Linked DNA regions of Caenorhabditis elegans. The protein of the gene in region 1 purifies or fractionates together with the protein of each later gene. This does not show direct contact. Each region holds a gene or a part of one and is shown in the gene's direction. Other genes may lie near its edges. The genes, in order: unc-40, madd-4, vem-1 and sax-3.

Region 1 (7,980 bases):
AAATTTTGTTATTAATTTTAAGTAAAACATAGTAGACCCAGTTTAGAGTTTTCTCGTATCAACATCAAAATTTCTTACCGTAGAATCCCAACTACAGAAACACGATTGACATTCCCATTTTTTAGAACCAGCATCGACCACTGGAGCTGGAGCAACCACAACTGGTTCTGCATCTTTGGCAACTTTTGGAGACGAATCCTTTGAACTCTGATTGGATCCTCCGGCAGATGAGATAGTGTCAGCGGAAGTTTGTGGTCGCGACTCTTTCACTTCACTACCATTCTCCTCACCGACGTCTACTTCTGAGTCTTCTGATTCTTCGGAATCTGATTCGTTTCCACTGCTTTCAGATGTTTGCTTTTCTGTCGATTCTGCATTGCTCTCACTGCTGGACTCGGATGCTTTATGTGAGCTTGCCGTACTTGCGGTTTTTGCAGTTCCAACAGCAGTAACTAAATCAACTGGAGCTGTGAATGAGAACGCGAGATCGTCCAAAAACCCGCGCTTGGGTGCATATTCTGGCGCCAATTTCAGAGGTTGTGGATTCTGCAGAGTTGTTGTTGGAATTGGTGGAAGTTTCTGTGAATCCTCATCAACTTCTTCAATGTCATCAGAGAGTTTGAACGTATTTCTACTAACTGGTTTCCCATCAGGTCCCTTCATAATTGAGGCATGTTGTTTTCGACTATTTGACGAGTTTATGGTGGTCGTGGATGCAGTTGATGCTGTCTTCTTTGGAGCTGGTAAGTCCAGTGAAAACAAGGAGCTCAGCTGAAATTTAAAAAAGTTAAGATAAAGTCGAATAATTTAATTATCATAATTTTAAGTTTGTTATAATTTCTGAAAATTTCCCAATGAAACGTTTAAAAATAAATACTAGACTGTGATAATCTCGTGTCTAATTTTAGAAAATTTGACCAGAAAAACTTTTTCATAATTCTTGTATCATTTTTTTTCAAGTGTTTAAAATCCAGGTTACCTCTGCAGTCGCAAAGTTTCCGTTCAATGATTTCATTGAATCAGAAGATCCAGTGTCTCCATTTTTCGACGATGTTCTTTTCCTAGTTAAATCCGTCCAATAAGGAGCACGTCGAGCGGACATTCCCATAGTCTTTGATATGAGCTGTATACGAGATGGAATTGCGTCTCCAGCTTTTTTCAATGGAGGTGGTGGTGTGCCAGTTGCTGAACCATTTGGAACCTTGCTCTCGCTAAACGATCCCCATTTTTCTGGTCGAGCAATGCCAGCTCGAAGCATTGACATTCTCTGAACTTCTTTCGCGGGTGTATTTGCACCTTCAAGCTTTTTGAAAATTTCTTGAGTTCTTGTACTTAATGACCCGTTGGTAGTTGCTCCACTTCGTCGGCTCAAAAGTGAGAAATTTGTGATAGATGAAGCAGGAGAATGATTAGCAGTTAACTCTCCACACCAAGTCATATCCATTTTCCTCTCATTATTCATTGAACTATTAAGAGTTGGTTCCAGTAATGATCTGTTCAGGAATCGACTTCGTTTCACACTCTCACTTCGAAACGATTGTGGTAGAATCTGCTTGTCGAGCTCTGTCAGTTGACGTTTGCGATTCTGGAAAAAAATATTTCGATAGCATTTATCAACAGGTTTAATCTAATTTTTCTGTGAAAACACATTAATAAAAAGACAACTTTAAAAATTTACCGTGGAAACCGCAGGAGTGCTGAAGAAAATATCTGGAACAGCGTCCACATCGATCTCTAAGCCATTGGATGCACTCGTACGCCGATCCAATGCAGTCGGACTGAGGTATCGAAGACGTGATCCGATGCGATGGTTTTGTGAGGTATTCACTGAAGTTTCATCTGGAATTTAAAAAATAATGAGTTGAAATTCTAGTGCCATGTACTGATATGAAAGTCAATGTGATTAAACTTACCTGAAGCTATTTTAGCTTCATTATCTACGGATAATATATTTTTCAATGCTGGAGACGCAGAAGGAGACGATTTTGAAGACGAATTGGATGTACCTTCATCATTCGACTTATCGCCGTCTTTGCTTTTAGTGGCACTAGCTCCAACAGAAAAGAAGCGGCCAACCGATGAGAAAAACCCTCCGGATTTATCGGACATTTCTGAAATAGAAAAAAGTTGTTTCGTAATTGAGACTAAAGCTGAGAGAGACTGAAGAAATTTTTCTGCGCCGTGTCAGAAATTCTCGATAAAATAAAATTCTTCAAAAACGACACTTTTCGAAATACTTTTGAAACGCCTAAATGAACTACTGGAAGTACCAAAAGAACATGACAAATGCACCTAATATGTTTTGGTAAAAATTCCGAATTATTGATCGATAACACAGGTCAAAACTACAGAAATCATTCAAAATCGTAAATGTTTAAATTTAGGCCGCGCCAGTAAACGCAGCATTAAGCATTAAACTTGATATATTTTTAAGGCAAAAAACCTTTTACCAACATTGAATTTTCGAAGGAAAGAAGTGTAAATTACATTAAAAATCAATAAAGGAATTTAAAATCGCAAATGGCGCGAAGACGATTAAAAAGAAATTTTCGAGTGCGCACACGCGACGCATACGCGACGCTTTCAACGACATTTGAGAGGTTAGAGTGCAGACAGTTATCCTTCCATTAACAACATGAAGAGGGTGCAGAGAAACGAGAGAGTGTCCATTCCACAAGGCCACACCCCTTCAGCTGGACACTTCTGGAGCTCTTTTGACGACGTTCGACCCTGTTTTTGACTCTTTTTCCGTTAAATATATTTATTTTCTATTCAAAATTATTTTTAACGACCTCTTTTCCATCTTTTTTTCTGTGTTCAAAAAATGTGTTCAAAAAATCCAAAGGTAAATAAAAACATTATTTATTTCAGACCCTCTGCATCACCAATAGAATGCGATAATTCGACAGAAGTTATTTAATTCATTCAGTAGAAATGATTTTGCGACATTTCGGTGAGTTCCATCTTTTTATCTTATCAATTTTAATAATTTCTCCGTGGAAAAGTTTTAAATATTGTTGTTATCACTTTTGTGTTGATACAAATAAAATTAAAATCCTATAATTTCGTAGTAAACGAAGTATCTAAACCCGAACCTCTGAAAGAAAACAAAAGGAAATTAAATAAAACTTCATTACTATTTATAATTTTCAGGTTTCATTCTTATAATTCTGACAGTTTATCTGTCATCTACTCATGCCACAACACGGAAACATCATCGTCGATCGATTGATAATGGTGAGAGTTTTTCACATTTGAATTCAAAAATATATTAAAATGGGGGAAGGAAGATGACCATCTGGCATTCTGTCAAGGTGTCAGTCACCGGCAACATAATTTATCGATTCAAGAATGGAATTTTGAAAATAGAAAAATATAAATAAAAATCATCTTAAAGTCAATACTTGGCACTGAACTACCTTGTGGCTATTTTTAAAAAAAATTGACTCCATAAAAATAATACAAATCCAAGAAAAGTTACGTTTTTTTTAATACTCTTACCTATAAAACACTTAGTTTATCGTCGAATTAATGGTTTTACTTTGAAAAAACCTTCTTTCAAAATTATTCTCAATTTTCGAGTTCCGATCTAGCAGAGTTGTTCAGCAATCTTTTAGTTCCTTCACACCTTAAAGATGGAGCAGCGATTTTTTTGTCCCCAGAAGAGAGACATCTTGAACGTTTTCTAAATTATGGCGGTTTAGGGAAAAATTAAAATTTTAGTTAATTTTGACTCCGCTTTTGAGAAGCCTCATTCCGTCACTCGGGGCCTTATTTCACTACCCCACGGTGGGTACCACCTTTAAAGAAAACTTGACGCCAAATTGTAGCATTTTTCACTACAAACCAAAAGTGGATAGCTCAATTCCCCAGATTCTCTAGGCGTTTGATGTTCGAAAGATTGTAATCTCTACACAAAATCCACCAGATTCGTTCATTTCATTATTGTGTGTGTGGGTCCCAATGGTTCCACATGAAGTCTTCTCTCTCTCTTTTCTTCTTACTCTTGGAATGAATTGTGACACAAACACACACACACAAAACGAAATGCCATCATCTTCTTTAGCTTCCACCACACAAATCTTTCTCTTCCATCCCCTTTCGATTTCAATTGATGGATGAGGCAATATGAGGGACACGGGTCTTCAGTTGATGGTGTTCCCTTGATTGCATAATGCTCCGGGAATACATTCATTCATCATTTAAATGATGATGATTTCTTATTGATGAGTAGCAAAGTTCTGTTTCTAAACATTTACGAAAATGTGAACTAATTGGCTCCAATTTTTGAGCGGCGGAAGAGAAAGAAGGACGCTTTGGGTTTATTGTTATTTCGGAATGGTCAAGGTTGAAGACTGAGAAAGCTACAAAATAATAAATCAGTTGTGAAAATATGTTTTAATTCTGGAAAAAAATAAGGATAATTTAGTTTAACTAGTAAGGTACAGAAAAATATCAACAAAAAAATTAGACGCGATAAGTGGCATTTTACAGTATTCCCCAATTGATAAGGACTTTTTCGGTTTTTAACTGCATTTTTTTCCGTGAATTCATAAAATAAAGGTTCTACGATGCCGCATGTATCACAAAAGAATTTATCGAGCATGTGAGAACGTATGGAATAATGACTGAGGAAGAAAAATGAATGGTTATTATTATAATAGTATACGTTTCGTAAACCTTTCTCGGAATATAAATGGTCATAAGATTCTCGATAAAAAAAACAATACGAATGACTTTCTGAAGGAAATCCTTTATAAAACCTTATTTTCAGATGCTCGGAATCTTGGCTTTCAATTCGTAATGGAACCACGACGGAATGTGACTGTTATGGAATCATCGTCTCATTTATTAGAATGTAGTTATGTTCTGGCTCATGAGAGACTTGTACACGATGTCCGAATTGAATGGAAACGTGATGGTGTGTTGCTCAGTGAACGGACATCTTCTAGAATGTGAGTTTTTTTACAACTATTTGTTCGGTTTAAAATTTTTTCGATTTAAATTGATGTTCAGTGTCAATACACTTATAATAGTTTTTAAAAAAAATTAGATTTTTCAATATTCACCGTCATTCGTTTGGCAAATTTTGCAAAAATGTGGACTTTTAGGTAATTGTTATAGGCGAACTCCTAGAATTTTTACATACGAAAAATTGAAACATAATTAAAATATGAAACTAGTAGAGAAAAAACATTTTTTTGATCGACTTCCAAAATTATGATTTCAAAAAACATGTCAAAATATTTTGAAATTTTTGTTACGATATTTGGACATTTTGAGTATAAAATCAGTTTTAAACAATATCCCTACTGCACTTTTAACCTCGGTAGAAAAAGCTCACACTTTTAAATTGGGTTGAAGCTGACTTTTTCGTTAAAAAAAAGATATCAATTGTGCTATCTTGTAATCTTTAACCTTCTTTCCAAGTATATGGTTGTTTGAACACTCTTAACTTATTTCACCAATAAAATCGGATGCTCACATTCTTCACAAGGACTCCTTTGTGGATTCTCGTCAAAGTTTCGAAAATATGCAAATGACATTGAGACATATAACTCATTTAGATGGTGTATCTCCGTTCTATCGGAATGTGTGTATATACACTTGTTTCTTCTCCTTCTTCTATTCCTAATCCCTTCAAGAGCATGCAAGCGAGTGGAAGTAGTGACTTTTACATGTGTCTTTCTATGCACATATAAAATTTCGTCCTGGCTTATTCATGCATATGTGCATAGGAAGGACACTTTTGACCGAGAGGATTGGAGTCTATTGTTGAGAAGCTTTTGTTGTGCAAGAAATTGTTTTTCTGCATATTTCATAACTTGTAGTTGTTTTAGTTTCCAATGGCCACTGAAATGTTATGAAATTTGCCGGAAATAGACCGAAAGTTATTAAGCTTAAAACCGAAAGTACAATCAGAACAGAATCAACACATTGGAATCAAAAAAGTTCACACAATTAACTATATGTTCCAATTTTTCAATTTCCTTGCTTTGAAATTACCACTTTAAGATTCTGTTAATATTAAAGTTGTTGGTTTAAGCTTACAAAGTATCTATATATTGTGTAACCAGATACTATTTTCGCCTTCACAACATTCAACAGAAGTAGACCACCCGCCAAAGACGTATCCGCGACAATTTCCTGCCATTTGTCATGTATCTCCTCCTACTATAATGCCATGTCACCATTATTATTCTGGCATTAGAGCTAGGTAATATTAGGTCAACAATTGTTTTCCTGAAGCTGTCTTTGCCGGGCCTGTAGTCGTTCTTCTGTTGTCATGGTCATTAATCAGAGGCGACTGTGGGTGATTCGATCGAAATTGAGAAACGATGGGTGGATGTCGTCAAGACGATTGATTGACAGGCTCAAGGTTCTGTTGAAGACTATGCAAATGGCATTGAACAATTTTTGCAGTTTTAATTTCATTCAATACAAATGAATCATCAAAGTATGAATGGAAACTGGTCAGGGATAAGCTTATCCGAGTTGGATTTACTTTTTCAAAATGGAAAACTTGTTCACATTTAGTAGCAAATAGCCTTCGGCGAATATTTATTTTCTTATTCCATGAAGCACGAAAGTGCGTATTACAAATCAGGGTCTGAGAATTCTGGTAGTCCTTCGTAGATGTGATGAGCGCGTTGCACACACGTAAATGTGCGCATACACACTCATTCACTGAGACCATCTGTCAATTGCACACCACAGAAGTACTTGGAAAAGATAGGAAGCGACCCACAACCATATGGTTGCCAACGATGATGGGAATCGCAATAAAAATGAGAGAAAAAAGTTTGGGAAAAAACTTGAAATTATTTGAGAACATAGCAATATAGTTGCTTCGAATTTTCGCAAGAAATGTTTGTATGAATGTATAATAGAATACTGTAGTACGTAGAGCTCTACGTAGAGAAAAAAACAAAATAAATTTGAAAATTCTTCAACTAGATAACATCTTAATTTTGAAATAGACATATTAAATGCAATTTGTCTAAATATTTAAGTTTTTTATTTCAGAAAAGTAATGTCAAATGGTTCATTATGGATAGAATCAGTGAGCAGTGCCGAAGAAGGAACATATCAATGCGCTGTACATGTGACTACAAAAAGCGATCAAACAAGTGATACGTGGACATTTTTGAGTCGAAAAGCTACGTTACGATTGGCGGATTTGGCAAAGTTTGAACTGCAAGCGATTGATCGAACTCTAGCAAAAGGGCAGCCAACTGCGTTTCATTGTCTTATTGTGAGTTACTATAAAATATTTTGAGATTTTATTGAAATTGAGTTTTCTTTCAAATGTTAAATATCTAAAATCTTTCAGAACTCGAAACCAACCCCAACAGCAGTTTGGCTTCACAACGATGAACCTATTGTAAATGGTGGTTAGTTTTTTTTTTCTAAAAGAAAGTTGAAAATCTTTGTTCCTGTAACTCCCTGGTCTCTTGGGAAATTTATTTCTTTAAATTGATGAACAACTGAATTTGTTCTCGCTTTGTGTCTTTCAACATTTTAACCAGTAAATTCTTTTGTGTAAGCAAAAAAGAAAGAGATTCAAATGGAGTTGACCATTAAAAAAGGGAATTAATGAGGCTCCAAGCCCATCTGTGCACTTTTGACTGAACATAATTGTCTAATTTAACTCATTTCAGGCGAATATCACATTCTACCAGTGTCAAACACTTTGGAGATTAGTTCCACTCAATCTAGACACGAAGGGACGTATAGGTGTACGGTAGAAGGTGCTGGGAAGAGAAGAAGTAGCCAAACTGCACGATTGACCGTTACTACTGGTAATACTAACTTTTATATTAGGGATGTGCGGTAATGACCGGTTACTTACAATTGTGTATTTTAAAAATTTTTCTGGAAATTCTCAGAGCAGCCATTGAAGATGTTCGATTTTGCTATTTGCTAATTGAAATTTCAAACAGTTGCGGAAAAAAAGCAAAATCACAATTTGCCAAAAAA
Region 2 (8,287 bases), 3.3 Mb from region 1:
AGACAATGGATGCAATTAGGAATGACATGACGACTGGATTTTATTACTGTATTCTCTCTATTTTAATAAAAGAGACTAATGGTTTAACTCTGGAATTTTAATTTTTTTTCAATTAAATAAAATGTTTTAAATATATTGAAATGGGTTGCAAAAATGAGGTTTTTGTTTTTTTCATAAACACAAGACTATCAATAACATGTAAGTAGAATTGTTCACAATGTATAAAAACAATCAGTTGTATTTTACCAGAAAATTCAATATTTTTCTTTCCCTCTAACTTCCTGTCTTTTTATCCGTTTCTTTCTTTGGTGTTTATCATTGGAAAGAAATTTCTTCACTATCGTTATAAATTGTTCTGTCTACTGTACCTGTCTGAAAATGGGCTAAAACATGCCGTACGCTAGAAAACTTTCCAGACCTGAAAAACGTAAAAATTGTCCGTGCTTTATTTCTCGTTTTAGCCAATTCTTCTTCAATAAATCGTTGTGGACCAAGTGTTTGTCTGTCCTATACTGATAATCCTTTACCTCCTGTACCCATAAAACTAATCTCGGTTGTCCTTCCAAAAAGATCCATAAAAAATAATGTTTTCCGGTCCCTTTGAAAATGCACGGCAAGAAAAAAGTAGAATAGAAAAATAAAACAAGGCGTCAAAATCAGTGTAGAAAAAAAAGTGGCGCCTTTTTGCCGAAAAGAGAGTGTCTTTTTGCTTCTTCATCTTTTTTTGTGTAATGGGTGAGGGGACCAAAGGAAAGGAGTGAGGAACAACATTTATAAGAATGCTCGAGGAGCAGAACCAGCACATCCTCTTCTTCATGCTCCTGCTCTTGGAGCCGCCACCCCGCCAACTTCTCCTCTTTTTTCTTTGTCTTCCGGAGTCCTTTGGTTCTCCTGGGACCTCCTTCTTCCCTAAAACTAACACAGAGTCTATATATTCATAACTTTTCTTTTCGTTGGATTCCCGAGCCAGTTTTTAGCCATCCCACTGACTGGAACTCCCATAACTTGGTCTTGTGTTCCTCGTCTAGGCATTTCCCGTTGAAAAACCAAGATTTTTTGCATTTTTTAAACAAAGCTCCCTTCTTTGTTTTGTAGGAGGGAGGAGCTGTAACCCGATTTAGAAGAAAAAGTCAGCGCCCCTACAAACAGGAAGACCTTAACTAGGTTCCCTCTGTTTGGCAGTATTTCAACAAAATTTTTTCAAAATTTTTCAGCTTCTATATTTTAATAAACAAATTTTTCATAACTTTTTTAAATGAAGTTTACTTACTGTAATTTTCATATCAGACTCGCACTATCTGTCAAAATCCGCCAAAGTTAGTTTACTAACTTCCAAATTTAGAACCATTTTTGGGGCACAATGTTGTTCAAAAGTTGTTTGTTTCCCGTTTCCTTGTTTTTTAAAATTTATCCAGATATGTTTATGAAATTTAAAGTATTTTATGATCCAGGTCGATTTTAGACAATTTTCTAATCGACGTCGACGTATGCCGAAGCTGGGGGTACCTGCGTCGATTAGCCTGACTTCGGCGTCGATCAGAATAGATTTACCAGAGTTTAGTGAGAAATGTGTTTATGTTTTCATAAAAACCCAAAATTCAGACGTCAGAATTCAAAAACCTTCCCCTTCAAATTTTAAAAGAAAATGAGTTGTAGTCGCAGAATATGTTACCTGAAAAGAAGTAGGGGTGACTCTATTGTCTTTATTTCTTTTTTCTTTTTACAATTTTTCATTCTCACTTTTTTTTTACTTTTCAAGTTTGTTCAATAGTCTTCTGCAAAAATATTTCAGTTATAATAGTTGTGTTTTCCAAAAAATTAGTTCAATTCTTTTTTTTTGCAGTTCTTCTTTGTTTTTCCAGTCATGTCCTCATTCCATAAATCCCATTGGTCGTCGATTTCCCATTTTGAATTGCCCCTAGTTTTCCGATTTACTGCATTTTTCAAAAAAAAAGAAAAAAAAACGTTTACTATTGAATACCTATGCCTGGTTGAAAGAATGGGTTTTGTCAGACACTGGTTAACCTTTGCTCAGCTCTTTTTTTGAAGTTTGTAGTTATCGTTTTTGGAGTTTTTATTACAACCTGGTATCATGAATATTTTTTCTCTTCCATTTTCATTTTTCCTTCCCAAGTGTGCTGCCCGAGTCTATTGGAAGTCAGAATACCAACGTGTTCCTTGACACTTTTTGATTTGATTTCCACATTTTTTCCTACATTCTCCTCTTCTTTTGGCTTTTCTTCTCTCCTGAGCAACGAAGTTTAACCATTGCAATATTTGTAACTTTCATATAATAAGTAGTGGAGTTTTTGAATTGATTAAAAAGTTTTTGAATTGATTTGCATCATGGTCTAAACGAATAAAACTTCTCCAAGAGACTCCTCAAAAAGCTTTCAATAACGTAGTTGTTGTTCAAAATTAAAAAAAAATTACAAAACTTGTGTTCCATCGACTAAGATGGTACCTAAATTCCAAAAAAAAAAACGAGTAATAAATTACTAAACTGGAAAATTTGGCATATATTCCAGGTAAATTTAGCCTGTTTCTTTCAGATAATTTTGAGTACATTGAATAAATTTTGTTACTACCTCTATCCCGGCTCGCCATTCGCCTTGTTGCTTCCTATCAAAAACTTTTGTCTAGGAGTTACTCAACACGACTTATCAATGAATTGCTAATTTTAGAAATAATTACTAAAAAATGTTGGAATGGGTTGAGAAACCACATGTTCATAGGAGAGTAAATTTCTACGAATTCAAACTAATTTTGCCAAATATTTATTGTAATTTCTTGCTTTTTTTTGTTGATTGTTGGCCCACTTACTTAGTTTACGTTAATGTTTTTTTTCTCTACAGCTACTCTTTTTAATTAAATTTCTTTTTGTTTTAATCAGAGGTAAAGTGCTATAATTTGGCTCAACCAACTCACAGGTGATTCGCGGGTTTTAAAATACTTATGAAATGTAGTTCGCGCGCTTCTACAAGAGGCACCAGCGATATAGTAAAATACTTGCAAAATCGCAAATATTGTGCAAATTGCGATCACCGAGAGTCGCGATTACCAAAATACTGCTAAAATGTTAATGGTCCCGCGGCGAAATTCGCGATTTGCAAAATGCATCTAAAATATTGGAGGTCATAAGTATTTTACAAACGGCGAATCACCTGTGCTATTGTAAAGTGGAAAACTTCTATAACTATTTCTTCGAACCCTCTAATTTTCCTATCCAAAAAATAGTTGAAGCCCACATAAATCTTTTAATACATTTATCTCTATTTCATTCTTTCTCTTCTAACTGGTAATTTGAAATTCGAATATTTTCTTCAAGTTCCGGCATCTGTATATTTTCTTTTTATAAAACTTCCAAAAAAATATTTGCAGCCAAGGACAATTCAAGCGTTTGTTAATTTTTACACAAAAAAAGGAAAAAAAACAATGAAACAAAGTGTAAAATGAATGAAAATGAAGTGTTCATATACCGTAGTATTTTTACTATTTTACTTGCTTATTGCGAGTTTCCACGTGGATGCTCTTAGTTGGGCGGCATGGAGTCCTTGGAGTTCGTGTACTAAAACGGTAATCGGACAGAGAAGCTATTCAGAAAAAAAAAATTTTCAGTGTGGTGGCGGAGTTTCTCGTCAGTTACGACGTTGTTTGACATCAAAATGCTCAGGAGAATCAGTTCGATTCAAAGTTTGTGCTCAAAAAACTTGCGAGTCAAAATCTAGATTAGCTAGGGATACAATATGTGGAGGAGAGGAAATAGTCTCCAGGGGACAGGTATGTATGAACCACTTTCAAAATAATGTTTTCTTGTGAAGAAACATTTATTTAAAAAAAGTTTTTGTAGTAGTAGTCAAAAAATAATTTGGACAAATGTACCGAATAACCAAAAACGCAAAAACGTTCAGCCCTGCAGCAAGAGTGTTGTTTTTTCGATTTCTCAATTTTTTATGAATGTCGAAAAAAAAATTTCGGATTCTCAAACTATTAATTTTTTAACGGTCTAAATTTCAATAATATCCACATATCATGATACATAACATTCTAACAATTTTGTAAAAGTTGTGGTAAATTTCCAAATTTTCCAAAAATGTGGACTTCCTGAGAAATTTCGAGTTGTACTGCAGGTTTGAATCCCTAGAGTGTTTAAATATAAACAATCTTTAAAAAATGCGGAAAACTGAGTTTTCAAGTGTAGATTTAAAAAAGCCAAATAATTGTTGAAAAGTTTGAATTTTTTTTGAAAAGTTTGTGAATCATACATGAACAGTTTTCAAGCACCTATAAGTGAAAAAATAAGAACTAAAATTCAGTGCGAAGTGGTATGCCGATCACGCTTAACTGGTGCAAATTTTCTTTGGAGAGTTGATGATGGAACGCCGTGTCAGGCCGCAACAAGTAGAGCTGTCTGCAGTAAAGGGTCTTGTCAGGTTACTAAATATAATTGTTTTAATTATTATTTTCCCCAAATTTCAGATCGTTGGCTGTGACGGATTGATTAGTTCATCTTTTCGATTTGATGCCTGTGGAGTATGTGGAGGACGAGGGGATACGTGTGACAATGGAAAGTTCATTTGGAAAGTTTCCGGTAGAATTTTAAAGATTTACAACAATCACTCAAAACACTAAGATTTCCAGAAGAATACACTGCATGCGCTTCAAATTGTGATGATATAGTTGACTGGTCAGGTGCTGGACGTTCAATTGCTTCAACTAGTCAACCAATTGTTGTATGTGTAAATGCAATAACTGGAAGAGTTGTTCCTGAAAAGTTATGTGCTGATAAATTGAGACCGAAAGTTGAAGCAAGACCATGCCCAATGCTGATTTGCCCTTCAAGGTTTGAAATTTTAAATTATTTTATATTTATGCTTAAGTGCATAGTTTCGTAAATAGTTTTAAATTCTAGTTGTTGTCTGTACTTTTTGAAAAGCACAAACCTCTAAAAAACAAAAAACCGAACTCAAATTTCTGTTAACTTTTGTATTTTAATAATTTGAATTGTTTTTGAATATCCAATTTCCTTTTTCAAGAAATATTCTTTATATCGTTTCCTAAATTAGATTTGCTAATTTGATTTTAATTAATAATTTCAGATGCCGGTGAGTTTTTCCAAAAAGATCCCAAATCAGGGTGTGGTAAGCTGAAAGAGTGTGCCCCATAAGAATGACGGGGATTATTGATTTTTTATTTTTTCTCAATTTATTTTTGTTTTCTATATCACATTCACTTCTATTTGAATTTTCTCGATAAATATTTTTATCGTTTAGGAATGGCTAAGTTCAATTTTTAGATAATTTGAGACTGACATCTCTTTGCTTTATTAGACGCTGTGTGTCAATTTGAATATTTATGGATTTTGAAGTAATGAACTGAAAACTTGCAGATGGATGGCTGCAGACTGGACAGAATGTGTACCACATTGTGGTGAAGGGACAAGAAAAAGAGAGGTTTACTGTGTACAGACGGCGCATAATGTTACAGTACATGTTCCTGATACCTTCTGTGAAAATGGAACAAGACCGGTTAGTTGTTAAAAGTTTTAGCCATTGTTTCAGATGTTAAGTAGAGATCTTCTTATTAATGCTTGAGCGGAGCATTCTCAAAATGTTTTCAAAACACCAATTTTAATAATAACACCTCTTGAAATTTTCAGAAACATTTTTATGGCGGTTAAAAAATTTGTTGAAAAATTGTTTTTTTAAGAGGTCTTTTTTTGAATTTCGGCCTATAGGGTCAGTATAAAGAATACGCTACTCCAGATTTGACTTCAAGTATTTTTCCAAAAAATATATTGTTTGGGCGAAAACGTTTAAAAGCCTTGCCACTATAATTGTATATATTGTTTTTCTGTTACAGACGCAAATTTTCCAGATTTCTTAGCGTTATCATCTGCCTTTTTAAAAAACAACTTTCCTAAATTTTTTTGTTTACTTGCATGTTTCAGAAATAATTTAGAAATCTCTCTAAAACTTTCCTGAATGATAACTTTCAGGCAGCCGAAGAAAACTGTGTATCAACATCATGTGGACGATGGGAAGCCGGAAAATGGTCAAAATGTACAGCTTCGTGTGGCCAAGGAGTGCGACGACGTCACGTGGCATGTGTTGGAGGTTCAGATTGTGATGAAGGAGGACGTCCAAGACAAGAGACAACATGTTATGCTGGAATACCATGTAGTATTGCAACAAATAGGTGAGCTCCATTAAGAAGTGGAGAATTGGTAAAGGCACTTTACGCCAAATCATTAGGTAGAATGTGTGAGCGTAAAATGATGAGATTTGCAACAACTTTTTTGAAACTGAAATTGCTGGTTTTTACATTAAAAAAAAATTCAACTTCCAAAAAATGGTATTTTTCATTTAATTCTAGCCTACATAAAAGTTAACAGCTTGCCAAAATTAGTGTACGAAGCAAATTTTACAAGCTCGACAAACTCAACAAGTTTCGTTTGGTACTTGCTAAATGAAAATACTTGCTGTTATATTATTTAAAAATTGTATAGTCTAGAAAAGAATTTCAGATCTACATAATTATTTTTTAATCGAAGCTTTACTATTCATGTCTAAAAGTTCGATGTAAAACGAGTAAGTTGAGCAATCCCCCTTCTACACACAACTAACAGTTTCTTCAATATACACATTTTGTCCATTTGTACTCTTTTTCGGAATTTCTCATCAATCACATTCCTACTAAACTTCTTCCTTTTTGTCTTCCATTACAAATTCAGTGTATTAAAGAACTCTTTCTTTGTAGAGATGACTCCATTTTCGTAGTTGTACTTGTACTTGATTCCAAGAGTGAGAAAGATTTGAAAAAAGGGATGAAAATAGGGAAGAGTAAGAAAAATTACTACTCGTCTTAACTTTAAGCTGTAAAAGGATGAGCGGAGTGGAATAGAGGGGGTAAAAAATGGTCGAATAGCAGGGATTATTGAAGTTACCCATGGGAGTTTATGTGAGAATGTTGCCAGTTTTTTGGATGAGAAAGAACTACGACAGGAAGTGACGAGGTTTACTGTATATGAGAAAAGGTACAGTGATAACTGAAACGCGTGTTTTCTTTTGTGAGGTCAGAAAATTCCATGTCTTGGTGGTCCCATTTCTATTTGGCGACGATACCTGAGACGCCATGAGTTTTTTCATTAGATCGTTTGTTTTTCACAACATGGTCTATCGTTTTTAGGAGCAAAATAAACCCATTGGCAATTTGTTCTGAAATATCCTATGGGATTTTGTGCATATTTTTTTACGCATGGGCGGAATAACTGCACTGAATTTTCACTGAATTACTTCTTCTCAAATTCTCAAAACTAGAAAAAAAAATTATAAACAAGTCCAGACCACCTAAATAATTTGAAAGGTCTACATATGTATCAATGACCCTGTGAGGCACGGAGTTATCGTCTCCCGCGGGTTTAAAAGCTAGACAAACTCGTTCAATCGTTTGATATTTCAAACAATTAAGATCTTTCGCCCTCAATTATTGAAAAACTCACCAATATTGGTATGAGAACATCACGCTCTAAAATCAAGCTTGAATGTGGTCCCCAGATAAATTGGAAATATAGGTCTTCAAATTTTGGAACTAGAACCGCCTTAAAAGACATCATTTTCAAATTTCAGTTTTGCAGCAAGGTTCTGCATTCTTTCACATTAAAGTGATATCCCTAGGCATAAAATAAACATACTAAACGGTTGGAGATTTTCACATCTTTTTTGGAAAAGTGCTTCTTCTTCTCCAAAATATTCTAAAACTACTACTATTGTTCTTTGCCGCTGCTCCTTTTCTTTTTGGCGACATTCAAGAGTATGTAGAAGCAACGTCTCCTTCTGCTTCTTCTTCTTTCCTTCTTCTCTTGTCTTTTCTCCTGCGAAAATAAATTGATGGGTCGACGGGAGGGTCCTGTGCTTCTATTCTTCTTCTTCAATAAGCCCCACCCCCTATTGCTCTTTATTCAATAATTGGGCGTGCCCAAACCCTCAACTTTTTGTTTTTCCTCCATTTCTTTTGTGAGCAAAAACTAGGAGGCTCCATCCTTTTTAGCACCTACTCAGTATTCCATAAGAAGATCTGGATACAGGTTTTGGAATTTTGGAACTTGAGCACAATGCTCCCCCTACTCCTGATTTTATCAGCACCATTGGGTGTCAGTGCTTTGTAAGTTTTTTCAGTCACCTTCCTCATTTTGTAAAATCGATAGGAAAAATAGTTTTCAAAGCGAAAAAGTTAAAACTGTACGGTAGTACATTAAAACCTCACTTACGAAAAAGAGACCAAAAAT
Region 3 (6,415 bases), on another chromosome or scaffold:
GTGGCCAATCCTGGTACGTTCCGAATCCGGAAGAATTGGACAACACAACTACCATGATTGGAACTACTGTCTTCTTCACCAGTTGCTGTATGTATCTTGGTTATGCTTTTGTCTACTCTAAAGGTCATCCTTATCGTCGTTCTGTGTTCACTAACTGGCTTCTTTGTGGAATCATTTTTGTTATTGGCGCCGTATGTCAACTTGCACATTTATAATTTTAAAAGTGTTGTGATTTAGATCAACATGGTGATGATCTTCACAAACATGGGATTCCTTATGAACTTGATGGGATTCGTTTACGTTCCAAGTACATCGATGCGCTTTATTCTCCTCGCAATTTCACTGGCTGGAGTTTTCCTGTCTTTGCTCTACGAACATTTCTTCGTCGAAAAAGTGGTTGCTATTCATTTTGAAAGGTAGCTCTAGAAAAATCTCGTGAGAAATATTTATATAGAAACTTGACGAAATCAGGTGCGATTTGATATTCAAAATTTGTTACTTCGTGAGAATATAACTGATGTATGATTAGAATACGATGTGGTGCAAGTAGAAATCAAAGAATCAAAGAATGCTTTCATAGAAAATTATTTTTTTGAATTGACATCACTAATTTCGAAGGTATAAATTTAACTAAGAAACTTTTTAAACATTTAGAAAATATTTTACCTGAAACATATTATTGAGATTTAATTAGTTTTCTTCTCTCAAGCGGAGACTACAATAGAAAGATTTTAAAGTGTTTGTGTAGCAACTTTATTTCCAAAATAATTTTAATAGATTACCACAGAAATTTATCATAACAATAGTTTTAGTTTTGAAATGATTTTTTTCTGATTTTAAACATAAATATATACTTAACGTTTCACCTGTTAAAAATTGGAAACATTTTCAAAAAAAAATTACACGATTTTTTTTTAACTATTCAATACTACTATTCAAATTTAATTTATATATTGAAAAGTATTTAGGTGCATATATTTTTTGCAGGTGGTGTACGATTAGTATATAAATAATTTACACCCATTCTTTTAGTACTAAAAAATCTAAAACACATGTTGGAACTCTCAGAGTTTTGGAGAATATTGCAAATATAATTAAACTTGAAACTGAAGTAGAAAAATTTGTGTTTAATCGTCAATTTTCAAATTAAAAAAAATGTAAATACTTAAAAATCAACTTCTAAGGTTAATAACATGAAACAATGGATATTTATTTTAGCTATCTGCGCCAGCGACGTCTTCGGAACGGAGATCCATCGCTCTCTGCCTATGAAAAAATACTCGCTGCAATTGGAAGCAGTCCGAGATGGTTTGAAGATGAGATCAATTTGTCGAAATCGATTGACAGAAAAGAGACTATAGAGAGCAAATGTTAATCCCTTGTTATTTGATTTTTAAGATTTGCCCTTATGTCAGTGTCTTCTGCATGAGTACATGCATATTTGCATATTATTAGAATGTTATGTATAAAAAGAAAAAGAGAGCCACCTCTTAACGATAATCCAATTTCTTGTTACGCAGAAACGCCTCGTTTTCCTGTGGACTTTCGATATCTTCAACATGCTGCTATTATCACTCCCATGACCCGTTTCCTATCTGTTTTTATTTCGATTACTACACATCTGCTAGAAACACACGTCACGTGTGATTTGTACTCACCGTTTTCTCCTTTCATACTTTTTAGCCTACAAACCACGAATTGCTTTGTGACTTGACTCAATTTTCTCCCGAAACTTTTTTTCGTCCTCAATTCCCACTACCCATTTTCTTGCTTCTCCCTGTTGCAATATTTTCAATTTCCCATCCAAAAACGGCCCGAGCACGGGTTTTCTTTTCCTTTTTGTAGGTTCACTTCTTCTTTTTCTTCTTCGTTTCTATTTTTTTACACAATCATTGTTCACCTTTGGGCACCCCAGTGAAACATTTGTTTGATAAAAATTGTGTGTTCCACGGCACTAACCACAAAATCTTTGCTACAAATACTACTCGTATTGTTTGTGATGACTGTGGTGAAAGTAAGAAGAATCGAGAGACATTAGGGGACAAATATAAAATAGAAACGATAAGGCGACGAAAACGCACATTCTTCTCGATTTCCGACCGTCAATCGCTGAGTGAATAATTGTTGACGGCAACTGGGAAAATCTGTGAGAAAATAATGTACCATGTTTTCGAATTTCTAAAATTAGAGATAATTTCTTCCGTTTTCTCTTTTACATCTTGTTTTCTTCATTTTACAACAAATCCTTCTTCTTTCTCTTACCGCTTTGTGCACTTGCACTGTAAATGACGGCAACTTACGGACCTAGCGTTCGACGAACACAGTCAAGGACGCTCACACATCGTCGACGGGTTCACCTGCTCTGTTGCAGTGATTTTTGATGTTTTTATTGGTGACTAGTTTTTGACTTTTTACAAAATGTATACTGTTTCTGTTACTTTTTTGCATAAATCATTTTGTTGAATAAGTGTTTCAGGAAATATGATTTTTCGTGAACTCTCACTTGTTTTGGATTACACTTTTTGAATTATATTTTTCATATATTTGCCATAGACTCAAAAAAACTAAAATTTCATTTATTTACAAACATTTTCCCCTAGTGTTTACACTCCATGACTTTTTGCACTTCCCTAGAGAAAAAATTTAAATCAAGTTTAGTAAACATTTGTCATCTCCAAAGTCTCCAGACAACCAAAAGACTTTACTAAAAGTTTTTTTTATTTTCTATTACACTTTACTATATTTTGCACCGAACCATCTTTTGAAACTTTGTGTTTTGAGAAAAATCAAAACTATATTTATTGTTGTTGCTGAAGAGTACACTTTTCATTCAGTTCGAGGGCCCACTTCACTTTTCTTAAATTCGCAACAGTACCTCCGCCACACTATGTGCTATTTCATTGAATTTATGAGACAAGTAGTGAATATCACGTTTGAACTTTTGATCTTTTTGCTTACGTTTCCGCTTCAATCCGTTGAAACCTATAAAATAAATCCGTTTAATCGACGAGGTGGGAGGCGCGTGCCCTTACTCGATCGCGATCATTTAACCAGTTCGAGGCTCGCTGTCTAGAATTGTTTTGTCCTTCTAACGGTTCCCTCGCACTAATGGTTTGATCTATCAACGACCACCATATGTTCGAGTTTCAATTTTATACGTTTGTCATTTTTTCAGCTGTACAGTCACAATGGATCTTAGCTCTTGGTTTGAATTCACAATGTACGACGCGGTCTTCCTTGTCGTCGTTCTCGGATTCTTTTTCTACTGGCTCACCAGATCCGAGCAACCGCTCCCAGCTCCACCAAAAGAAGTAAGTATTTGATTAGCTTCTTTAATGAACATGTATTTTTTCTAAATCCTGAACTTAAGCTCGCCCCATTGCCAATGTCCGATATGACAGTTGAAGAGCTGCGCAAGTACGATGGTGTCAAAAATGAGCACATTCTGTTTGGACTCAACGGAACTATCTATGACGTGACTCGCGGAAAAGGATTTTACGGACCAGGAAAAGCCTACGGTACACTTGCCGGGCATGACGCTACCCGCGCGCTTGGAACCATGGACCAGAATGCTGTTTCTAGCGAGTGGGATGATCATACTGGAATCTCTGCTGACGAGCAGGTAGGCTATGCAGTTTTCTCATGAGTAAGAACGTGAAAGTTCGTTATAAACATTTAATCCTTAAAGTCATTGTTTTATGATTTGTGGTATTTATTCATAACTCAGGCATAAACCATAACTTTTTTGTGTCATCAATATGACATCGAAGCTAATTCAAATGTATATTGCCTCGGTCAGATTGATTGTGAACAAAAAAACCTAAATTGATTTTTACAGGAAACCGCCAACGAATGGGAGACACAGTTCAAATTCAAGTACTTGACTGTTGGACGTCTGGTAAAGAATAGCTCGGAAAAAGCAGATTATGGAAATAGAAAATCGTTTGTTCGTGGAGCCGAGTCTTTGGATTCGATTATCAATGGTGGCGACGAGGGCACAAAAAAGGATAACTAATTGTATTCAAATCCATAATTGTTGCACATTCCAAAACGGTTACATCTTATTTTATGTTCTTTGTATGATATGAAATCCCATTGTCCATCCCTTCTCACCATCTCTCGCAAATTTTATATAAATACTGTGATTTAGTTGTTTTTCAAATCGAAGAATGATTTTGAATAAATGATTTTTGTGTACGCCTTTGAAAAATGTTAATATTTAATATTTACTTCATTATTTTCACTGTTCAATTGCTCCGATAATTTGGATTGTGCAGGTTTTAGGACATTATTGATAAGACTTGTTTTCTTCATTTTAAATCATTTGAAAAAAACATTTGAGAATAACATGTTTTGATTTCTGGTTAATAGAAATAGACACTTTTTAAAAATCAACGTTTCCCAGTTTATAAGAAAAATAATGAGTTTCACATTCAAATTTGCAAGGTAAGAAGTTTTCATGATAAGATCCCAGTCCCATTGTAGTCAAAATGTTGATATGATTATTGTTTTTATCTCGGCAAATTGCTGGGTAAAAAGAGATTTTGCGTCGTATGGATGCCGATAAGATTTCTGTGTTATGCGCGCGCATTGCATGCAAGGCCAGCCGCCGACTGTTATCGATTTTCATGGTCCGCCGCCACGCGTTCGTATTGGACATTTCTGCACTGTGTCCATTATTTTGATATATTGTTAACATATAAGGCAGCAAAAACTTTCAAAAGTATTATTTTCATGTGACAAAAATTGAATTTTGTTCCTTGATACACTGTTTTCATTTTCAAGCAAACATGTTTAATGCGGAAGCTTTGACATCGAAACTGTCGGTGGAACATGTATTTTCCATGAGAATGTCGCTGACAAGCAACTCTAGTCACTCGACACATAAAATCATAGCGATCTTCAGCATAAGATAACAAGGCCAGGCCGTTTTAAAACTCTTCTCATCACTCCCCCACAAACAACAGACCGCTATGCATATTCAACTTTTTCGACGCTTTATTTTTTCACTCTGTCCCCCACCATCGAAATGTGAATATGTGCTAAGTTTCCAATCAGCTTGTCCTCTGACTTCTGCACTAGTCTCTTCCCATGAATAGCCAAGTACAAGAGGAGTTTCGTACTCTTTTCCTTTACTCTTCCCCTTCTTGTTTTCTTGACGTATTTTTCAACTTGATTATTACTTTGTTTATTTTTTAGAATGGTCGCGGAGATCGTCAGTGGACTCGAGTACTCAAAAAAGGTTCTTCACGATGTCGGACAGAAAATCGCAAAAACCCGTGAGCACCACCCAAATTTTCATGCAGTATTGGCAATTGTTCAGGTATGAAAGCTTACCACTGATAATAATTTTATTTCAAGCATTGCTATTAACTTAATAATATTTCTAAATTGAATATATGAAAATGAAAATCTCTGTCCAATCTGTGTTTTGAGTTCATGACGTACATAAGTGCATTGCATACTTACAAAACAGATTTTGAAAGTTTTGCAGAGCGTAATTTGTAGTTGTGGTGTACTTTTGAGATACCGGCTTTTATTTCGTAACAAGACAAATAATATCCGAGGGGATATCTGTTATACTGAATAACTCAAAGTCTCAAAATTTGCAGGTTGGAAATCGTTCAGACTCCAATGTGTACATTAATTCCAAACTGAAAAAAGCAAAGGAAATCGGAGCAGATGGAAAACTCATTAAGTTGCCAGACACCATCACTCAAGGAGATTTGAAGCGAGAGATTATGGCTCTTAATCATGACAACGAGATTGACGGAATTATCATTCAGGTTAATATAACGGATTAAGTTGTAATATTGAAATGTTAACTTATAACGGAAAAAAAACACATCTCAGTTAATTAAAAAAAAACATCGGAAGCTAAACAATAATAGCAAGTTATTAATTTCAGCTTCCACTGGACTGCAAGCACGAAATCGACGCAGACTCTGTTATCGACTTGATTGACCCATTGAAAGATGTCGATGGACTGACTCGTATCAATGCTGGACGTTTGGCTCGTGGAGAACTCCAGCGTACGATCTTTCCTTGCACTCCGTTTGGATGCTTGTACTTGGTTCAACAGGCAACTGGTGATGCCAACTTTGTGTCTGGAAAGGAGGTGGTTGTTTTGGGACGCTCGAAAATTGTCGGATCTCCAGCCGCTGCGCTTTTCTTGTGGCATCATGGAACTGTGACAATCTGCCACTCAAAAACTCCAAATCTCAAGGAGAAATGCCTGAGAGCAGATATTTTGATTGTGGCAATTGGGAGAAAACATTTCGTCAAAGGTAGATTATCAATAAACCTAAATTTGAGATAGTGCACAGTACTGGCCATACAGATATCAAAAGATTGATTTCAACTTCAGCAAACGTGGTTATTCCGAGCTGAGATCTGACTATAGTAAAATAGTGAA
Region 4 (7,964 bases), on another chromosome or scaffold:
TTTACAAACGTGTGTATTCAGTTTTTGTTACTTTTTTGGACGTTGTCAATCAAAAAAAAAATTCAAATTTTAATATTAAAACTCTGTGGGGATTTGAAAACGCGACAGTGCTAATTTTTCATTTTAAAAAATGCAAAAACTCAGTATTTGCCACTTTTTGACAGTCAGCAAAAACCTTTGAAAATTTTTGAAATATTTTACAAAGATATTTAGTTATTTTAGCACCATAGGAGTAGTTTTCACCAATCTCCCTACCGCGCTACTTTAACATTTGTGCCAAAGGTGCGCGGCAAATGCAGGCTGGCAATTCTACAAAATGAGCCAGTCTGGCATGTTCCCCGAAGTAGTTTTTTTTTAAATAAAAATTTAGTTACAAAAAATGGAAAATTAATTTTTTATCTGAAAATAACTTGTTCTCTATTTGAAACAATTGAAAAAGTGCTCAAAAATTGTCTGAAAGTTTGAAATTGCCGAAAAATATACGTGCATGTATTAAAAACTTCCATATCATAATTTCTCACGCACCTCATGTTTCTTTGGATTTAAAAAGAGAGATTCAATATCACCGAGAGAGCAGGAATATTTGCATAACCCACTTTTGCTCACCGTCGTCTGCCACTGACCACTTGCTCCGCCGGCGACCCACTTCTTGGCGGGGCAAAGGAGCGCGGAATTGAGAAAAGATGGGAGGGGGAAAAAATCATTTGGCGCACACTTTCGTGCCCCTCTTTGACGTCCCCCATTCCAATCCACGTTTTTCACGCCATCGACCCGTCGTCCGGTCGAGCAGGTGTCCAGTGGACCCCATGACGAATTGCGGCGGACCACAATTCTATTCTCCCTGGTAGACTTTCCCATCCCATCACACTTTTCTTTGCATTTTTTGCTTCTTTTTTTTTTCTTTTTGGTTATTGTGCCATCTTTCTTCTGAACTTTTTGCTTTTCGGAAAAAGAGGTGATCTTCTCATTTCAACGAACAAACGCACTTTGTAAAGTGCCATAAAGTTTATTGTCCAGCTTCTCGCCCCGCCGACACCTTTGCGAAATTATGGTCAATTCCTGTCACTGGTTCTCACTTTTTTACTTTCCACATTTCCCCACCGTCTGCTTCCCCGCAAAAATCACAGGCTCTTCGAATCTCCCCACCTATTCTTGCGAATTTTATCGGTTCCACTACAAGTGTAACTATTGCTCATTGACAACGTATAGACACAACACGACAGATGTTGTATGACAGGGCCGGGTTTTCCTTCTTCTTCGTCGTCCTCCCGTCCCCCAATCGTTTGCCTCGTTGGTCCATGGGCATAGGTTCGGTCTACAATGGACCTAATGAACGGGTAGTCGAATGTGAGAGGAGGGCGGCCACGAATTGGAATAATTACTTAACCAGGGAAGGGGGCGACGTATAGCCCCGGCTATCCCCTCATATTCCATGCGGTTTCGTTCCGTATCGAGCCGCTTGCATGACATGGACATCCGTCATCGCCGTGCTCTTGACGCGCATTATTTAGGTTATTTATCTGACAATTATGAGCTTTCTGACGACCTTATTGAGTTGAGAGCTTTGATATGTTCTCGAGTACTTTCTTGTCTAGAATAAAGCGTATTGATTTTTCTTATTCGCCCGCCTGTTGCCAGATAGTTTATCTAATCAGTATTATTCAATCGCTGGCACAACATAAATCGATACTTGTCTCACTCCTCTTTGCGCGTTTATCTCCCCGCGCATTGCACACACACCTTGAAGAGGAAATCTGATGTCTAACATTCTGCGTCTACGCCTTCTAGCAATTCGTCTCAACGGTCCTCATTTTAAATGTTCTGCAAATGCATTTGTACTAAATTGTGATTTGTTTCTTTTTGGTTGTTAGAGAAACAATGAAAGCTTTTTGTATGTATAAAAATTTTGAACCATTTGGTGATGTTGAAAATCCGTTTTTCTTTTAATTTCAAGGTATTTTCCTAATTTTGGCCATTTTGCTGTGTTTGAAGTTTTTAATTTCCATGTTCAAATTGTAGCTATAGTTATTTTATTGATACTCTGGCAAAAATCAAATTTCCCAAGTAAAGTAAAACGCCTATATAGACTTGATGAAGTTCTACTTAGATTGAAACTTCAACGGATTCTTACTACAATCTTGCACAACTCCTGCGTAAAATAAAATTTTGCATAGCTTTTCGGGAGTCTTGTGCAGTTTGAAACAACTCCTGCACACTTCCCAATCTGCCACGAACTTAGTACTAAAGATTTTTTATATTTTTTGTCAGAGTAGGTTTCCTTTTTCAAGTTGCCTTTTCACTACACCAAATTTTGATTACGCCTCGCCGCATTTAAGAAAATCCTTTCAAAATCGACTTGTTCATTTTCTTTCATCTTCTATATCCATCCTTCATCCGTCCTTCTGCGCGTCATCTTTAACCAGTCTCACTACGTTTGCCTCCTAACTTTGCGTCCTCATTTTTTTTGTTGCTTGTCTTCCTGCTGGCTACTTTTGCCTCCCGTGCATTTTTTCTTTATTTTTTTTTGTCCAACATCTTCCGTCGCGTAGAAGACTAAATTTGTTCTTCATTCTAGAATGTGGCTCTCTAGTCCAATTTAGGGTCGGCTTCCGTCCGAATCGCTCCACCACCACCACCACCGAAAATGCGCAAAAACGGACGCACAAATCGTCTTCGCGTCTTGAAAACGACGACGACGACGCTCGTCAACTTTTCAATTACTTTGTTGTGTCTTTTCCTTTTTTCCTTCTAAATCTATTCTCCCGAGTGTCACCCTAGCAAAGATGAATGATTACACCCAGGGCCACGCTTTTTTCGCCCTTTTCCATCTTTTTCCCATCACCTATTTTGTCTTGTTTCTCCTTTTATATTCCCTCATTCTCTTTCCGTCATTTTGTCGCCCACTCTTAAAACAACCGCCAATAACTTTGATTACTTTTGTGTTTTTCTTGCAGGTGTCTCCCAACTGGAAATTCAGAACACCGCCACAATTAGATGCAGCCTTTGAAATTGGACACAGATTGAATAAAACAAGATCATGTTCAATCGAAAAACGCTGTTATGCACTATCCTCCTGGTATTGCAAGCAGTAATCCGAAGCTTCTGCGAAGGTTGGTTTTTTTTTTCTAGAAAAAAAATGTTAAGTTAAGAATGTACCAAAAGTGTCAAGTTACATGGTGAAAAAAACGCGTCGCCAACAAGACACGCTATTCGATCCACTCGTGGGTTTTCTTTGAATTCACTTGGAAACTTGGAAAATCCATTAGGTTGGGTTGTATTTCCCATGTCGAAGAAAGCGATTAAAACGAAGATTGACTGAATGCGCGGAAACGAATGCCCTCCATCTTGGAAAAATGCTCTTTACTCGCTGCTTTTTCTACTCTTGCGCTATTAGACATGACTCTTCATTTTGTCAAACACCAAAAGCGGGTTCGCTGCTTGGATTGTGAGCTCGTTTGCCGACTATAGTGTAAAAAGATTCGATTATCGTTTTGGACTGCCATCTGCCCTCTTGGCCGAGCCAAGCCCCGCTTTTGGATGGTAATGTTGAGAAAACAATAGTGAATAGGACGGGGGGAGAATAAATGGTATAGAAAATGAATGAGAGGAGTTAGTCTCATTGAGGCGCGTGTTCTCAAGTATTCACCATTCAAATGCTAATCTCTTAAAACAATAAGTCTTTTTGTACAGCGACCAGAGCCAGTGTAATTTGCAACGAAAATATAAGAAACAGTTGGGAGCGACCACCCGCAGACTCTCGATATTTGTCTTGTTCCACATTTCCACATTTCCACAATGTAATTTGTGCAATGTGCAAGTCATTATTCAATGTGATAAATTGCCCCAACCTGGGTCATTTAAACATTTTAGCACAGTTTTAAGATGCATGCGAATATCCGTAAAATTGAGAATCATTAGCATGCGGTTGATAGAAGATGAGAAGCTATTTGAAATCCCTCCCCAGAGACTAGTAGGTTATTAATGAGCTGTTGGCGCTGTCCAAAATATTCAGTTGCATCTCATGTTTTAGAAAGACAGCCTGCTTTTTAGCAGAAGCTTTCAACACCAATGTGTTGCGAAAGAATGACGGGCGAATTGTGAAATTGGGTGTTGACAGGATGAGATATGTGTACATCTTCACAGCTCTTTGGTTTTGTCTTGCCTATGGATGAAAAGGCGGGCAGGCAGCGTAGTATAATATTTTGAAGGTTAACACGGCCATTAAATTGTAGCCAGAGTACAATACATTGGTTCATGGATAGTTTACTCGCGTGCGCACATTTTGACACTGGCACGCTAGATTGTTGAAAGGTTAAAGAGGTGACAGAAGAGACAGAAGGACAGCCAGGCTAATTAAATTGTTGAATCCGGCAGCTTGTTAGCCACACTTTGGTCTGGTAATTTACTAGTGGAAAACAACAGTGGTCCGTATTTTGAAGTGGAGGAAAACAAGTCGGCCTGCTGAAATTTTTATTAAGTGTGTGCGCAGCAGTGTCAGGGTGAATGCCATAAACAAGTGATTCAAAATGGCTTTTTGATATTTTTTGAAGCAGATGGGAGAAGATGGGTAATCCGTCGGAGGTCAATGGCAATCTTATGTAATAGACCACCGACACCCAATAAACCAGCCGTTAATGTACTATCTAGGTTTTTACCACACTCACACACACACACACACATACATAAATTTTGATAAAATTCCTAGTGAATCATTTTATTACCTACCGTCCGTCAAGGACAATAGTGTCGCACATCTCTACTGAAAAATCGGTGAGGGAAGGTGTTCGTTTCGACACCATAATACAGATGTGACAGTATTGCGCGTGCCGGATCGGTCAGATTGATTTAATGCACTTGGACAAGTTTCCTTTCTTATTCACATTGTCAAGATGGATAAAATCAAAGTGTTGATGTATGTGGAAATAAGATGAATGGGAGATGAGGAAAGTAAAAAAAATTCTAACAGGGGAATGATGTTGTTTTGAACCTTTTCAAATCTTGAATATAATTTCAGATGCCTCAAATCTCGCTCCCGTGATAATCGAACATCCCATCGATGTGGTGGTATCTAGGGGATCGCCAGCAACCCTCAACTGTGGTGCAAAGCCATCTACCGCCAAAATCACATGGTACAAGGATGGACAGCCCGTAATCACGAATAAGGAGCAAGTGAACAGCCACCGGATTGTTCTCGACACGGGATCCCTGTTTCTTCTGAAAGTGAATAGTGGAAAAAACGGAAAAGACAGCGATGCGGGAGCGTACTATTGTGTGGCCAGCAACGAGCACGGAGAAGTGAAGTCGAACGAAGGATCGTTAAAATTGGCGATGCTTCGCGAAGACTTTCGAGTTCGGCCAAGAACAGTTCAGGTAAAGTTTAATACTTTGAATAATATTACGTATTTTTTCACTTAATCCTGCACTTTTCTACTTTGACAGTTTACCTTATAATCTCTATTACTGCGGCATTTCCATGGCTCAACCCTGACAGTTCGTATCTCGGTCAAATTGGATTTTTTGTAAAAATTTTAACTGAGCACAGTTTTGTTAAATTTCTCTGTAAATTTATTGTTTTTGAACTTCTTAATATCTTCAAAAGCATTCGAGACATATGCTGTCAGTTAAACAGTTGGGGTGCCGCACAAATAGAGAATAAAACGGCATATTCTGAGTCAGTTCAAATATGTCACCTCATTTTTTAGTGTTAAACTACAGAAAAAAAAAATTATCACTATTTTGTCAGTTGAAAATTTTTGGTAACCCCGAAAAACCGAAGATTTGGACCATCAATGTTACAAAAAACTTCATTCGTCAGTTTTTCAAAAACTGTAAACCGCACTGCACAATTTGTCAACGCGATTTTTAGACCATTAAAAAATAATTATTCACAGAAGCGTTACTCAATTGTTTTCAGGCTCTTGGTGGAGAGATGGCCGTTCTGGAATGCAGTCCGCCACGTGGATTCCCGGAGCCGGTTGTGAGCTGGCGGAAAGACGACAAAGAGCTCCGAATTCAAGACATGCCACGATACACTCTACACTCTGACGGAAACCTCATCATTGATCCGGTCGATCGAAGCGATTCTGGTACTTATCAGTGTGTTGCCAACAACATGGTCGGAGAACGGGTGTCCAATCCCGCAAGATTGAGTGTCTTTGAGAAACCAAAGTTTGAGGTACGTGTGGAAGCGATAGTCCTTTTAAAATTAATTTAAATTGTAACTCAAGGTCGTTTCAATTTCATTGTTCCGATGAAAATGCTAAATGACTGGTAGATTAACAAAAAAAATGTCGACAGGGGGTTTTGTAACTTCCTGTATTCTATTCTCAATCTTACTAATTCGATGATTAGTATTACTATTCATTTGATGTTGATTTCAGCAAGAACCCAAGGACATGACGGTCGACGTCGGAGCCGCAGTGCTGTTTGATTGTCGTGTGACTGGAGATCCTCAACCACAAATTACGTGGAAACGCAAAAATGAGCCGATGCCAGTTACACGTGCATACATTGCCAAGGATAATCGGGGGTTGAGAATCGAAAGGTAATAAAAGTGGGAGAAAGTCGAGGTGTTATCTCATCTTGCAAAGGATTTAGTTATCTCTTAAGAGACACCGAAGAGACATAATCTAATAACCGTTTTCGGAGATCTAGGTTATATTTTTTATGATCTGAAATACATTGATGAATGATAGTTGTTGGACACCTGTTTGCGAGCCTTTTTATTGAAAAGTTTAGGCATCTAAATGGGAAAGTATTGGATTTACAAAATTTACAAAGCCTATACTTATTGTACTTATTGGAAAACAGTCGCATTATACAAAAAAAATGATTAGGTACCAATAGATTTCGTCCCCCCAAAAAGTTGTTAATGTTTCAGCACTGAAGTGTTTAGTATTTATACGCATATATATTTCATTACTACTTCAATTGTAAAAACTAGAAAATAAAAAACAATACTAAGTTTAAAATCACAAAATGGTCACGTTTCAATTTAAAATAATAAAAAGTTTCAAAATGAAATTTCAATGTAAATTGCGAATCGAGAAAAAACTGAAAAATCAAAGGGAACATTATTTTATAGAATTTAATGAAAATTGAAATAATTTGAGCTTTTCAAATTTCTGAAAAGAAATGCGAATCTTAAATACAATTTCTCATACCCACGTTTTTCAGAGTTCAACCATCAGACGAAGGTGAATACGTTTGCTATGCACGAAATCCAGCGGGAACTCTTGAAGCATCTGCACATCTTCGTGTCCAGGCACCTCCATCCTTCCAGACAAAACCAGCAGACCAGTCAGTTCCAGCTGGAGGCACGGCAACTTTTGAATGCACCTTGGTCGGTCAACCGAGTCCCGCCTATTTTTGGAGCAAGGAAGGCCAACAGGATCTTCTTTTCCCAAGTTATGTGTCCGCTGATGGTAGAACGAAAGTTTCACCAACTGGAACATTGACAATTGAGGAAGTTCGTCAAGTTGATGAGGGAGCTTATGTGTGCGCTGGAATGAACTCGGCAGGAAGCTCGTTGAGCAAGGCAGCTTTGAAAGTTACAACTAAAGGTTAGTGAAAGTATTTATTTCATATTTCAGGCAACATTTGAAACCAAAGGCCGTGTCCAAAAAAAAAAGAGCAAATAAGAAAAAGAAAATAAATCTTGCCCTCAGTTGATTAGCATAACTTGTTTCCAAACCCATCCGCGCAGCCATTTTGGCCCCCGACTTTTCCCCCATTGTTTCTATTTAGAGTGCGCCGCGTTGCTTGAGTAGCATTCTAATTTAAAACTCTAGTTTCTGCGTGTTTTGTTTTTCAACTACAGGACTGTTCTCAAAAAATGTACCAAGTTTTGACTTCATTTTTACCATTACTTCTTCTTCCTCGTCTTCACTCACCCGTTATAAGGATTTTAACAGGCGGGGGCAAGAGAAAAAAGACTAACAATCCGATTATGTGACCTTGGTGGT

The links.
Region 2: the proteins of unc-40 (region 1) and madd-4 purify together in Caenorhabditis elegans (affinity purification with western blotting, with the first as the bait; 2 studies listed by BioGRID). This does not show direct contact.
Region 3: the proteins of unc-40 (region 1) and vem-1 purify together in Caenorhabditis elegans (affinity purification with western blotting, with the first as the bait; one study listed by BioGRID). This does not show direct contact.
Region 4: the proteins of unc-40 (region 1) and sax-3 purify together in Caenorhabditis elegans (affinity purification with western blotting; one study listed by BioGRID). This does not show direct contact.

Annotation. Positions count from the first base shown.
Region 1 is NC_003279.8:5,686,395-5,694,374, reverse strand, and holds the start of unc-40 (Netrin receptor unc-40), read left to right. Parts: upstream 1-2,871; 5' UTR 2,872-2,934; coding exon 2,935-2,953; intron 2,954-3,153; coding exon 3,154-3,237; intron 3,238-4,774; coding exon 4,775-4,955; intron 4,956-7,026; coding exon 7,027-7,255; intron 7,256-7,333; coding exon 7,334-7,394; intron 7,395-7,661; coding exon 7,662-7,802; intron 7,803-7,980. Other genes in the region: npp-7 (RanBP2-type domain-containing protein), read right to left, coding at 79-771, 980-1,585, 1,679-1,839, 1,914-2,109.
Region 2 is NC_003279.8:8,937,380-8,945,666, reverse strand, and holds the start of madd-4 (Protein madd-4), read left to right. Parts: upstream 1-3,379; 5' UTR 3,380-3,462; coding exon 3,463-3,576; intron 3,577-3,618; coding exon 3,619-3,780; intron 3,781-4,316; coding exon 4,317-4,433; intron 4,434-4,479; coding exon 4,480-4,591; intron 4,592-4,641; coding exon 4,642-4,843; intron 4,844-5,099; coding exon 5,100-5,105; intron 5,106-5,389; coding exon 5,390-5,528; intron 5,529-5,998; coding exon 5,999-6,198; intron 6,199-8,015; exon of another isoform or gene 8,016-8,113; coding exon of another isoform or gene 8,114-8,163; intron 8,164-8,287. Other genes in the region: fip-6 (Fungus-Induced Protein), read left to right, coding at 1-2. UniProt on the Caenorhabditis elegans protein: Component of an extracellular matrix cue that is involved in the guidance of dorsoventral midline migrations and in the specification of postsynaptic domains at neuromuscular junctions (NMJs).
Region 3 is NC_003284.9:8,085,335-8,091,749, reverse strand, and holds vem-1 (Protein vem-1), read left to right. Parts: upstream 1-3,175; 5' UTR 3,176-3,188; coding exon 3,189-3,311; intron 3,312-3,370; coding exon 3,371-3,622; intron 3,623-3,838; coding exon 3,839-4,015; 3' UTR 4,016-4,195; downstream 4,196-6,415. Other genes in the region: catp-5 (Cation-transporting ATPase), read left to right, coding at 1-191, 238-416, 1,219-1,375; dao-3 (C-1-tetrahydrofolate synthase, cytoplasmic), read left to right, coding at 5,201-5,323, 5,613-5,786, 5,909-6,287. UniProt on the Caenorhabditis elegans protein: Transmembrane protein required for the axon guidance of a subset of ventral nerve cord-associated interneurons and motor neurons. May function with the netrin receptor unc-40 in axon guidance.
Region 4 is NC_003284.9:3,460,916-3,468,879, reverse strand, and holds the start of sax-3 (Protein sax-3), read left to right. Parts: upstream 1-2,952; 5' UTR 2,953-2,994; coding exon of another isoform or gene 2,995-3,024; 5' UTR 3,025-3,037; coding exon 3,038-3,110; intron 3,111-5,014; coding exon 5,015-5,370; intron 5,371-5,914; coding exon 5,915-6,175; intron 6,176-6,380; coding exon 6,381-6,544; intron 6,545-7,176; coding exon 7,177-7,562; intron 7,563-7,964. UniProt on the Caenorhabditis elegans protein: Required to confine migrating sex myoblasts to the ventral muscle quadrants during their migration through the body and for multiple aspects of sensory, motor, and interneuron axon guidance.